Drosophila melanogaster: one gene and its partner. Changing the gene in region 1 together with any one later gene gives a genetic interaction. Each region holds a gene or a part of one and is shown on either strand. Other genes may lie near its edges.

Evidence for each region.
Region 2: of hec (region 1) and fru, changing one enhances a phenotype caused by changing the other (phenotypic enhancement), as found in Drosophila melanogaster (one study listed by BioGRID).

Annotation. Positions count from the first base shown.
Region 1 is NC_004354.4:12,951,418-12,959,633, reverse strand, and holds the start of hec (hector), read left to right. Parts: upstream 1-2,171; 5' UTR 2,172-2,416; intron 2,417-5,050; 5' UTR 5,051-5,094; coding exon 5,095-5,269; intron 5,270-5,800; coding exon 5,801-6,101; intron 6,102-6,656; coding exon 6,657-6,747; intron 6,748-6,812; coding exon 6,813-6,904; intron 6,905-7,005; coding exon 7,006-7,132; intron 7,133-7,225; coding exon 7,226-7,327; intron 7,328-7,570; coding exon 7,571-7,689; intron 7,690-7,813; coding exon 7,814-7,887; intron 7,888-7,950; coding exon 7,951-8,216. Other genes in the region: CG32642 (uncharacterized protein), read right to left, coding at 1-1, 85-352.
Region 2 is NT_033777.3:18,542,398-18,547,389, reverse strand, and holds the start of fru (fruitless), read left to right. Parts: upstream 1-1,803; 5' UTR 1,804-2,277; intron 2,278-4,992. UniProt on the Drosophila melanogaster protein: Probably acts as a transcriptional regulator.

The DNA of each region.
Region 1 (8,216 bases):
TCTGTAAAAAAAAAATCAAGAAAGGAATGTTAACAAAATATCCCAGCATAGTTGCCTAAACAAGGATATGAATTGAGAACTTACCCTTCTTTCCGGCAAACAACAGTTTCAAGTTCTGTGAGTCCAGGCGGCACTTGCTCGAGAATGGATGGTAGCTATAGCCATCGGTGGCGCAGACAGCATAACCACCTGGTGGGCACACTGCATCGTAGTTGACATCCGCAAAGATGTAGTCAAGTTCAGAGCCCGAATAATCACTATACCAATCGTAGTCCCCCTTAACGCCGACGAAAGCCAGGACGAATGTCAGGAGTAGAGCTAAGGAGCTGGACTGAGACCTTGGATGGAACATGTTGCCGATGGAACTGATGTCGCTGACCATGTAGATCCCCGCTTTTATGGGTCAGCGACACGACTGAGAAATGGGGTCTGGAACGTGCATGTGATTACGGTCTTTACATCACTCTCGAGCATTTTTTTTTATGTTTAAAACCCCGTCTCCCCGGCTTTTATCACTACGGAACGTGCGACCGAAGTGCGGTGACACTATGCCATAGTAATATGGTATTACCTAACAAAAAAATCGTTGTCTTTGCCGCTGTTTAAACTCTCCAACTAGCACTTTAAGCTCGCTCAACTGGCGCCAGATTGTTCTTAACGTGGCTAACTGGATTAATGTCGATAGAACCTGACCTAACTAATCTTGCACTCTTCTTTTGAAGAGAGTGGCATAAAAAAATGTCGTCATGCTTGTATTAATACAATGCTTATTAATCACAAAGGTCCAAATGTTACCTTAGTTTAGCCGAAGTTTAATCAATCTTGGCTTATACAATTACAGTGATTCAACTTTAAGTACAAGCCAGGTAACCAAGTAATACTATGTTATAAGCAAACAATTAAAAGGTGTAAACTTGTACCCAATCTCGTTCTTGCTCCTGACCATTCATAAAAGTAAAGTGCACTTACATATATTTGCGGACATGTGCAGAAAATTATATTGCAAAGGCGATTTGCCTTAAATTCACTTTTATGGGCGGCATGCCATTTTACGAGCTGAGAAGCCAGAAATTTTCACACCACACTGTGTGCTGCTAATTGTGAAATACATTTTATATGAAATTCTCTTACATTTTGTAAAGAATTCTTTATCAATCCTAAGTCGATGTCAATTTTGTCTAAAGAAACGTCAGATAACCGCATAAAATATTTATACACGCTTGCTATGCAGGACATCATCAGCTATTCAGGAATAAATTTTATGAAAGTTTGCTGAGGTATTTTACATGAATCGAGAATTGAAGTGAACTGAAACGAAGTATTCACTAAAGTTGAATCTTAAAGGTTACTGCATGATAATAATAAAGTTGCATTGCAATCGCATCAAATGCTTTTAACTGCAGTTTCAAAGTGAAACAAACACCAGTATCCTTGTACTTGAGAAGTCTTAACCCTTTGTTTGCCCAATTGTTATTGCTAAAGAATTGCTATCAGGTCGTTTTATTATATACAGATTGTATTGATGATAAACGAGTTAAAAATTAAATTTATTGGTTTCTATAGATTTTTTAATTATTTTATTAAATTAATAAAATATTATATTAAAATATTATTATTACTTCTATCCTTATAAAAACACGATTAAAGTAAGCCAATAAATATATATTTTTAATTGGATAGACCCAGTTGGGTTAAATAAATTTCTTTAACAAAATTCGAAGTCCTTAGGAATTTGTGGGTCCCAGCTGTGTGCGCCACGCCCACCTAGAAAACTGTTATACACGCCCACGACAAGCAATTCACAAAGGCATAGAAGCAGTGCGCCGACAACTTGTTGCTGGCAAGCAGTGTTCGGCAAAGCAGTACTCGTACACTGAAAGAAAGTATAAGTTCTACACTATTCAAATAAAATCGATAATGTATTCTCACTTTTAATGCCAAATATTATTAGAAGAAGTGTGCTAGAACTTAAATTAAGATGAAGATACTTTTGACATTTGTAGTTTAAATATATATTTTTTAATGCAAATACCCACTTTCTCACTTTCTCTTTTTTCGTACATTTCCTTCAGTGTGCCAGTATGGTGTATGGGCGTGAAAATGGGGAAAATGGGGAAAATATGAGGAAACTGCCAGCCACATCGGCAGGCGGTTTTTGCCGGATGCCGTACCATTTGCCAGCGGCACGCGGAGCAGAGCGGTGCGAAAATCGGAGTGGAGCAGCCAATTTTGAATACCGATAACATAAAGCGCATTTTTTGTCCGTGTTTCTAATATATATTTTTTTTTTTTTGTGTTTTTGTGTGCTGTTGCTGTACGTGACGAGCGGTGAACTGAAACCGAATCAATTGTTTAAGTTTTCAATGAATGGCAGTGGCAAACAATTGAATGAATTCAATTGACTGTGGGGCCCCATGTAAGTGATCTGTTGGCACCTGTTTTTGCGTAAATTCTCGACACCTTTTATGCGAATATCAGGTGAATATAATTTTGAAACATATTTGAACAAAAAATATTTCAGTAAATAATTAGCATAATTACTGCGCCGCATGAGACTTCATTTTCGAGCATTTAATTAAGTAAACAATCGAATTAAATATTTGCGTACACAGTACAAATAAATAATTCGATTTCAAGCCCCATCCTATTTGCGGTTGTTTTATGCGAAAAGTTTTTGCGCTACACAGGGAAAATACGGCAGTGATTGGCAGGAAATAAGGAAATGAGTGTTATAATTCGCAAGGTTGGCAACTTTTATGCCCAGTAGATCCGTCCGGGGGATTGGAATTCCGGATGATGATTCGTGGCCAGTCCGGCGTGCGTAATTGCATTTGGTGACCCAGGCGATGTGGATGAAGTAATTTGTTATTATAATTGATCCGCCAAGAATGGCCGAATAATGTGGCATTATTTCGCATGTCCGCTTTCATTTCGAGTGCGTGTCCTGGTTTATGTGTGTGTGTGTGTGTGTGTTTGTGTGCTAGTCGGTTTGCGTGGCATTTCCGTTTCCGGCCTGCAAATGGCGCTAGCATCATTAACCGCATTGACGGCTTTTCCCACCGCCTCTATTAATTTTATTTCTCTTTATTTTTTTTTGTGCTAGGCTGCTAGACAAAACAATTCATCATCAATATTCAGCATGTGTACATATAATTATTCCTCTGGCAGCTTTTTGCTCCCACCCCTATTGATTGGCCATTTGTATCTTTTGCAGCGGGCGGTCCTGTCGCCAAAAAAACAAAAGAAAAATAAGTCCTTTCTCTTTCGCCACCCATTGTTGACAATAAATTTCAATATCGTGCATAATTTATGCAAGCAAACGTTTTCAAATTATTTGTGTTTTATGAATGCTCCAAAATGAGTGCTCCCCCATTCCTATGGCTGCTATTCCTCCCCAAGTATTCAGCATCAAAAACTATGCAAAACAAAACAATTTGCCAAAAATGTTGCAGATGCTTGCGTATTCCTTGAAGCATTTCCTTAGTTTTGTGGAGCAAAATCTTGGCCACACAGCGCGCTTCAGATTTTCTTGTAATTTCCCTGCATACTTTTTTTTTCGCCAAGTCAGTAGTCGTTAAAACAAAACGGCAAGGGAAATTTTATAGTTGGGCAAAGTAGTTTATCTAATTTAAAATTGTTTAGAACTGGCTGTAGTAAAAGTAAAAAAGTAGTAAAAGTAAAAATGTTGTCTAGTTTAGTCAGTGCTACATTTTCTCACTATTGCTGAGAGCAGCTTGCTTGCAAAATGCTTCTTTAACTAACAGCGAAAAGTAATTGCGAAATATTCTAAAAAAAATATACTTAACTTTTTGTGCTATTAGATGAGCCATAATTGTTTTAGTAAAAACATATTTGTAGTCGGTATTTCTTTATACGCATTTAACTAGCGTGAGAAATGGAATCTGTTGAATAAGCGTAGTGCCACTTAAAGTGTAATTTGCCTCATAGCAAATGATAAAGCGGGAATTCTGCAATGGATTTAATTCAAAGGAGGGGGAATGTGAATGCAATTAATGCTCATTAGTGCTTCAAGACAGCCATTTGAATTGATGGCCAACAAAGGGCGCTCTAGTCCTTGGTCCTTCCATCGTCATGCTCCGCTTACCTGCGGCTAATTGCCTGGCCGAGACACTTGCAAAAATATATATAACATGCAAGAATGTTTAGCCAGGCGTCATATCCATCATGGGAAACTGTCCCAGTTCGGTGTAATAAATTAATGCCGCAAATTAAAGTTTAGCTTGGGAGCGGGAAAATCATCTTACTTTGTATGTATCGTGCATGCTAGATTTTCCAGTGCCTGGTGCAGGCTTCTGTCGAAACTCAATCAAGTGAAATGAGTTTTGATTAAAAATATAACCAAGTTAGGCAAGAACTTTGCAGCTCATCCCGCCTTTTGGGCCACGTGTTCGGTGCGGGTGTGTGAGTGTGTTTATGTGTTTGTGTGTTTGTGTGCCCCCACGATCAAAGTGCATTTCATTTGAGTTTTTAACCCGTGGCATTTGCTTTGTCTCTCTGTGCGACGAAATGCAATTAAGTTCGCCCAACCACGGTAGCAGAAATAGCGACACAGTTAAGCACCGCCATTAATTAGACAATAAACTGATTTACAACATATGAGAGACGAGTAGGTGACTCGGCTCACACGACACTCAGGTGCTTCGATATTTTGAGTGTGTGTGTGTGCCCCGTGTGGATATTCCATTTCCTTTGGCACCATTTCCCCGCAGACAGGACCCCACAACAAATATCAACCCAACTCAGGCAACTCTTTGAAGCCTAACCAAATTAGAAATGCACACACGAATGGACGGCCACAAGGGACTCAAGTTCGCTTCGCTATGGCGAAATACAGTGAGAACTAATGTTAAATATAAGAAAATATATTTAAATCAGAATAAATTTTAAAAACTAGCTCATACAAGTTTCTATGGGTAAGCAACACTTGTTTAAAACCTTTCAAATTGCCTCTGATAAATTATTGCAGTTGATTATCCTATTTATCCCGTAATTCTTTGAATTATATTTATATTATTATATTTTTTTTTAGTGCATTAGCCGTTGACAAGAGTTAGTCACGTTGAATAACCCACAATGGCGACAACCTCTTCAGATTCGGAGTCGCAAAATGTGGATGTGGCATCGCAGGCCCAAACGCAGGATAATCTGCGCATATTTTTAAAGCATTTGTATGCGGAGTGCGTGTTCCGATACCAGAATGTCACATACGATACGGACGACCCATCATTTTCACTTGGCCCAGCAACAGGTGAGTGGCGGCCAACAGGCGTATACGTGATTTGCCGCGAAAAAATAGCAGAGGCATAAGACAGATAAGAAAGAGAAGAGAATTAAATTAAATTACAGCCCATCTGATTTCATTTAATGCATTTCAAAGTAATGTATTTAAATATATACAAAATCATTGACTTACTTCTTGGGGATGCAAATTTAAACATGGGTTTTCGTTTCAATGCAAATCATTGGCATCTCAGGACAAATTTATAAATTTAAATAGCACTCAACACCTTTACCAAATGTACATATATTTTCAACCAGAATTTATGAATTATACCCTGCTATAAAGAACGATGATCTATTAACTATCTTAAGCAAGTTATGTACATTTGAAATACCACTTTATTTTACATATGTAAAGCAAGCATGCAATTGAATTGAACTTGAAAACTGAATTACATCACTTTCAGTTATGCAGCCCATAGATACTATTATTAAAAATGCTATATTTTTATACATTAAAAAGTAAACCCATTTTAATGGCACTTGTCGCCGTGCACAGACTACGATTCCGATTTGCCGGAGAACTTTAGCCCAGTGCCGCGATATCTGGAGAATGCCGCGATGAACGAGGGCGTTATTGACATGCGAAACGTGGACGAGGAGCTGGCGGAGAAGGAGGAGCTGATGGCCACCGTCGTCAGTGCCACGATGGCCACAAATCAGAAGGAGAACCGACTCTTTTGCCCCCTGAACTTTGACGGATATCTCTGCTGGCCAAGGACTCCGGCCGGCACTGTGCTGAGTCAATATTGTCCCGATTTCGTCGAAGGATTCAACAGAAAATTTCTGGCCCACAAGACGTGAGTTAAATGCCCAATATGCCTGTATATTACGCCACCACGAATAGGATAGATTTTCATTCCGTTCAGGATTTCGCATGGTCAAATAAGCTCTGCAATATGTAATATTCGTTTGAGCATAAATTCGAAAATATCTTGCCATATTCGGCATTTGCTTTAATGTGTTCTGTGTGTCATAAAATACAATGTTTATGTATGAGTGCGCTACAAACAGGGAAAATCCTATAGAGTTTACATTCGTGTCTATTACATAAACTCGCAGCATATCTCAGAAAAAGATGATGGAAAATGAAAGAAAAATAAAACCTTCTTCAACTCTTGCAGAGATAATCTCCCTAAGTGTACTGTAGCAGCACTCTAAAACTTGCACTACATGTATGTATCTCCAATTTAATGGATAGCGTTCATCTCACTTTACACGCCAACTGAGCTCAGCTGGCTCCTGGTAAAGTTGGGTAACTTGTGCATTGTCAGGCGCTTTGTTAGAAATACCCCCTTTACCCATCAGTCCGCACTTAGCCAGTCACAATTATCGTAAGCATTTCGCATTCATAGCTGCCTGGAGAACGGCTCCTGGTACCGTCATCCGGTTAGCAATCAGACCTGGTCCAATTACACCAACTGCGTGGACTATGAGGACCTGGAGGTAAGTGCTTCGGCGGCATCAAGCGGGTGGTACATGGGCATTAATCAAGAAAGTTGCCACTGCAGTTTCGCCAGTTCATCAACGAGCTGTACGTGAAGGGTTATGCCCTCTCCCTGCTGGCCCTGCTCATATCGATTATTATTTTCTTGGGCTTCAAGTAAGTGTTTGTCTACGACCCACACGGTTCCTTTCCCTCCGGTAACTGACGGCCGGATATCCCTTTTCGTTTCTTTCCGTTCCGTTCCATTCCGTTTGCAGATCCCTGCGCTGCACCCGCATCCGCATCCATGTACATCTGTTCGCCTCGCTGGCCTGCACCTGTGTGGCCTGGATATTATGGTATCGTCTGGTGGTGGAGCGTTCCGAAACCATAGCCGAAAATCCGGTAAGATGCACTGAGAAAAGTAACTATGAAAATAACATAGCCCTACAAGTAGCTAGGCAATTATACAAAACCATAAACATAACTAACTTTCAGCTGTGGTGCATTGGGCTGCATCTGGTGGTGCACTACTTTATGTTGGTCAACTATTTCTGGATGTTTTGCGAGGGCCTGCACCTGCACCTGGTGCTCGTTGTGGTGAGTTATCCTTACTCGTCTGGCAATCTGGCAATTGCCTGCACAAGTCTGCATTCTTTATGGGCGACTTCTGTGCATGGCAGATGTGATTTCCTGCAGCCGCTGACATGGCAATGGTTCACCCCCAGCAATTTGTCTGAGAGCAAATCGCAACGTTGGCCAACTGCTTTACGTCTGCGTCAAGTTGAGATGTCAGGAATGTCCGTTCAGATCCTGACGCCCCTTCTTCTTTCCATTCGCCAGGTCTTTGTCAAGGACACGATTGTGATGCGCTGGTTTATTGTCATCAGCTGGTTTTCACCCATACCCATAGCCATCGTCTACGGTCTGGCCAGGCATTTCAGTAGTCCGGACAATAAGCAGTAAGTTATTTTCACAATTTTACACAAGACATAATCCTGATTGATTTGGTTTTTGCATTGCATTTATTAAGAGATTACATTCTACGCTATATCCATGGTAACATTTCTTTTCACATTATTGCAGCTGCTGGATAACTGACAGTCTCTACTTGTGGATCTTCTCGGTGCCCATAACTCTTTCGCTGCTGGCCAGCTTTAGTAATATGCATAATTTTCTTTAAAAGTACAATATTGCTCAGCTATATGCATTTTACCCAACAGTTTTTCTGATCAACGTACTGCGAGTGATCGTGCGAAAGTTACATCCCCAGTCCGCCCAGCCGGCACCGTTGGCCATCCGGAAGGCGGTTCGGGCCACCATTATTCTGGTACCGCTGTTCGGACTGCAACACTTCCTGCTGCCCTACCGTCCGGATGCCGGCACCCAGCTGGACCACTTCTATCAGATGCTATCGGTGGTGTTGGTCAGCCTGCAGGGCTTTGTGGTCTCCTTCCTGTTCTGCTTCGCCAATCACGATGTCACCTTT
Region 2 (4,992 bases), on another chromosome or scaffold:
TTCATTCGCCAAAAGCGAGGAACCGACCAAAATACCCGATCTTTCATATAGGACAGTCACATAGGGCCAGCACTATATTCCAATTCGCGTAGGTGGAGCACCGACTTATGTAATACTCGATTTTTTGCTGCTCGTGCTATATTTGTTTTTGTTTATTTTCGTTTATTGTTGTTGTTGCGATGGGCTGGGGAAATGCGCAAAAGAGACGGATAGTTGCAACATGTTCGATTGCAGGGCGTTGGAAAAAAGTTAACTGCTGTAAACAGCGCAGGCCTTACAGAGAGAGAAAATGGGGGCAACTCGAAATGAGAGCGAGCGCGAGTCCTGGCGAGAGGAGACTTCGGCAAATGCCGGCCACGTGACATTGTTGCACTTCCTGGCCGCGCGCTTGTGTGTGTGTGTGTGTGTGTGTGTGTGGGCGCTTGATAAGCTTGCAACGAAGCTATTAATCAAAACAGAATCAAAAAATCCGCTTCGCTGTGTGCGTGCGAGAGAGAAACACGTGCCGGCCCAGTTAACAGAGGTCCTTTAGCAGCGCTCTGCTAACAACGCCGGTTGGCAACAGCAAACGTTGGTTGGCTTGGTTGGTGGAAAACTTTCCACTCGGCCTCTCTAATAATAGATTTTATCATTGCCGAGTAAACCGAGTCGGTGTATTTACTTCGTGTAATTAATGCCTGGCTGCTTTGCGATTTTAAGGTGGTTTAATCGGACGATTAGGTGGCTAGACGCTGGTATCAATTGGCCATTTCGCAATTTGCATTTTGTGGTAATCCATTTTCATATTGGTTGTCATTCCCGTAGGGGCAATGAGGCCGTATCGTGCCCCCTTCTAGCGGCGTATTAAGTCGATTGCAAGAGTCTCAAATGTATTCCGGCTTTAGTGCTCAGCTTGTTTGTCCAACACTTGGCACGCACACGCAGCTCCGCAGGTACAGTGTACACCCTGTAATCGGGATCGTAGCGAAAGCATATATTTAATACATTTTTGATAAATTGTTTGTTAGTTTTCCCTACTCATCAATTATTAACGTTAAGTTGCCTACTTATGTTTGCTATTCGTATTGAAATCATATTATATTCAATTAATATTTACTTAAAGTAAACATTGCCTTTTTAAAAATATATATATTTTCGTTTTCTAAAGCTAGTTAATTGAGTACCCACTGTATGTGGCAGTGTCCTTGTACTTTTACATAATAAATCAAACCCCACCGAAAGGAACGGAAATGAAAGTAAGGCAAGGAAGAGGAAGGAAACGAAAAGAAATGCCACTGCGGAAAGCCAAGAAAAGAAAAGTGCATTTGCACGCTAACAGGAGCTGTTACCATTTCACTGATAAGAGCCGGCAAGCGCGAACAGCTGTTCGAGAAAATCCTCGGAGAGAAAGCAGCCAAGGATATCGAGAGCATTTCTCTTCGCTGTAAACGGGCACTGTAAAGGCGGCCAGTTGTTGACTGGGAACTAAGCCAATTGCACAATGTGGGCCGAAGTTGATGTCGTGTTGCTGCTGTTGCTGCTGCTGCTGCTGCTGCTGTGTGTGTTGCAACACGAGCAACTACAAGTGCAACTACACAACCCTTCGACTGCAAGGACTTCGGCAGCAACGAGCATGTATATGTATTCCACCGAACCCACCATGTACTGCGTTTATGTGTTGCTGCTGCTTTTGCCTTTGACGCTGCTGCTGTCGCCGTGCTGCGCCTGCTGCTGCTGCGTTTCGTTGGTGCTGCGACAGCAGAGTCGTTGCAACAATCGCAGCTTGCACATCCAGCAGCAGTCAGTTGGACGCGGCGGCTCCTTCAGCAAGGACGCACAGCTCACACAATCCCTTCGAAGGAAATCAGCAGCCGACATACCGAACGACCTGCCACAACATTCCAATTCAAATCCAATCCAATCCAGACTTTGAAGTCCTGTAAAGCGTTTTACATTCCGCTTACATAAATGCTAGAGCGCTGTAAAAATCGGCGCTAGAAACGCCAATTAGCCAAACATGTTAGCCATGTTTTAGTCGGTCCTTTCGCGCTTGACTTGTTTTGCAACTGTGTGCGTACGTTTGAGTGTGCGAGTGCCGCCCGATTTTGTTTGTCCTTTTTTTTTCTGTTGGTGTCTCACCGAGTGCCGTTTTAAGCCAAGATACTACAGACATACTAGCGACTAGCTAATACATATTAACTTGTTGTGCCAGCGTTTTGTGTGTGCCAGTCAGCCTCTGCTGAGTGCATTTTCATTAAAGTCAACAAGTTGCAGCCGCATAAGGTCAAATAAAAGCAGGTGAGTCTGTGTTCCCGGCCAACAAGAGCCAGGTATTCCTATGTAAAGTTACTTAAAGTGCAGGTGATATGCTCTTCTGAGAGCAGATTTTATGTTGTTCAAATTGTATTAAGTGGTTTTGTGGAATACGTTAAGGGCACAGGTACAAAACCAATATTAAAAAAAAAACATTTGTTTGCTCATTTTCTTTGTATAAATATTTATTTTAACTAAGTCTTTTGAAAATTTTATAATGTGGGTTCTAAAAATATTTAAAGTGCATTCTCACTATGTGCTATCTATTATGAAGTACGTGTTTATCAATTAGGTTTTATATTTAAAAATGTTAGATAGGTTCGAAAACGTTGGGGTTTCCAAGTTTTAATATAAAATAAATATATTAAAATATTTGAGTGAGTATCCAAGCAGTTAATATCTATGGTACTGCAAGAAAATTCACTACGTTAACACATTTAAAAAATATTCATCCATTCACATCAGTACAGATGTATAAAATAATTAATAACAGGTCAGACAAATATATGGTCCTTATTTACCTTTAATAATTACAAAGAATTTTTAGAAAATTAAATCATAGAATCTACTGACAGAATTAAGATATACCTAAATTAAATTACAATAAATTATTTTTCTAAACCACATTGAGGTGTTTTGCAAGAATACTATACTGCTAAGAAACATTCGGTTCAGTTATAACAACAAAATCTTCGAAAACTTTTAACTAGCAAATTAAATTACAACAAAACCTAAAGTTGGCTGAGCACAATTCAAATTTCAGTTTCTTATATTTTATTAGCAAATATCAGTTTACTTCATCTGCATTTGATTCAGTTTATTCAGAAGTTCAGCAGACCAAGGCCAATTGCAAACTGGCTAATCCGTGTTACCAATTTATATTCAATAATATATTTGAGTACTCTTACATCTCCCCCGGCCAACATAAATTTGGTTTTTAAAGGCACCCAAAAATATTTTGACAAATTATGAGGTAGGAATGTGTAGTAAATATTTCCAGAGATTAAATGACAAGTCTAAAGGGAAAATATATCTACGCTCTTAATGATCCTTTGTAATAACTACAAATCTGTGGGCCGGGTGCATCCTGGCCGTGTCCTGGCCATGTCCTCAATTTCGTTGAGTTACAAAAGGTTTAAGTAAGTAAGCAAAACGGTAGGAATCGAGTAATCGCTCTCAGGGGCATAGTTTAATATTGGATTTGTAATGGAAATCAATATTGCCCGAGGAAAATTTATGCAGAGGCCAACAAAGAAAGCAAACCATTCAAATTGAACCGGGCCAATAAAATTGCAGTGCGAAGTTTGCGTCCGAGTTTGATTTGAGTTGTGCTGAATCGTCAGCCTTGGCATTGCCAATTTCATTAGGGGCCATAAAGGGAAAGAGTCCGCTTGTAATTGCAATTAGTTTTATCGTAACTTGCAGTTAAATAATCAAAACATTTTCCCAAGCTTCCGTCCCCATCGTCCGTCCACCGAAAACTCTTTGTAATGCAAAACTTTTTAATCCGACGCCTTGGTTTGTTTACACGAACTGCCAGCGCCCCGCCCACAGCGCCCCCGATCCCTATCCACACTCCAGACAATAACAACAACGTTGACAATAAAAACAGGATTGACAGGATACACCCCAGGAAGTCGATACGCTTAATACCCTTGCACGAAAAGTGCCTAAAAATAGATGGGAATCTATTTCGGTAGAAATTAGGATGATTTAAGAAAGTTACTCTTATTATATGAGTTAAAATAAAGTAAAAAGCAGACCATATCAACTTTAAATTAAAAAATGTGAACTCAAACGATGCAAGAGTATATAATATTTCAGTTAATCTTATTATGAAACAGAAAATCAAGTTAGAGCTTGTAAACTAAATGGATTAGGAAAAAATCGGGAGTATATATATTAATTTTTATAATGATTTGGCAAAATTATATTTTAAATTTCATTAGATAAATAGATACATCTCAAAGGATTTCCTTCGTAGAAAAAAATTGCTTGAAGGAAATGCTGAATAAACTCTTTAAATATTTTTAAAGTCGCATTTGTTTAATACAACTCCTATACAGTTGAGCATATTCTGAATAGCACTTACAAAAAAGTGCTTACCAAAGTTACTAGTTTTACTTCATAAAACAGTACTAGTGCGGCTGCATTTTCCTGAGAGGCTTGTAAAGTTCTTGTTGCAGCAGTGCGACTCCCTTTCAGGGTATGAAAATAAGAAAAATTTGCATATTTACACAAGACAATTTACACACTCTCCCAGTCGGCTGACTGAGTGACTGAGTGAAGGGCCCCTGCGAGGCAGGGACGCAGTTTTCCAGCGGGGCGCGGGAATGCGAGATTGAGTGGGTGGATTGAGGTTATTTTGTAAATTGTGTGTAAGCCGAACTGCTGCGACTGCAGCCTGATGAACAGCCAGTGCCAGAACCGTTACAAAAGTCCAACAAGTTGGGAGGTGGGAAAAGTCGGGGGAAGCACGGGAAAATATGGGTAAAATATGGGTGGAAGTAAAAGGGGGGGGGGTGGCTTGGGGCCAAAGGGCGGTCTGTAACGGATGACAAGGACAAGTGAAGTGAAGTGTCGAGATGGAGCTGCACTGGCGGCTGCTCGTGTTGTTGTGCGGCATGAATTGGGGATATATATACATATATATATATGTATGAATGCTAGTGCTCACAATGCCACAACATACGGAAGTAA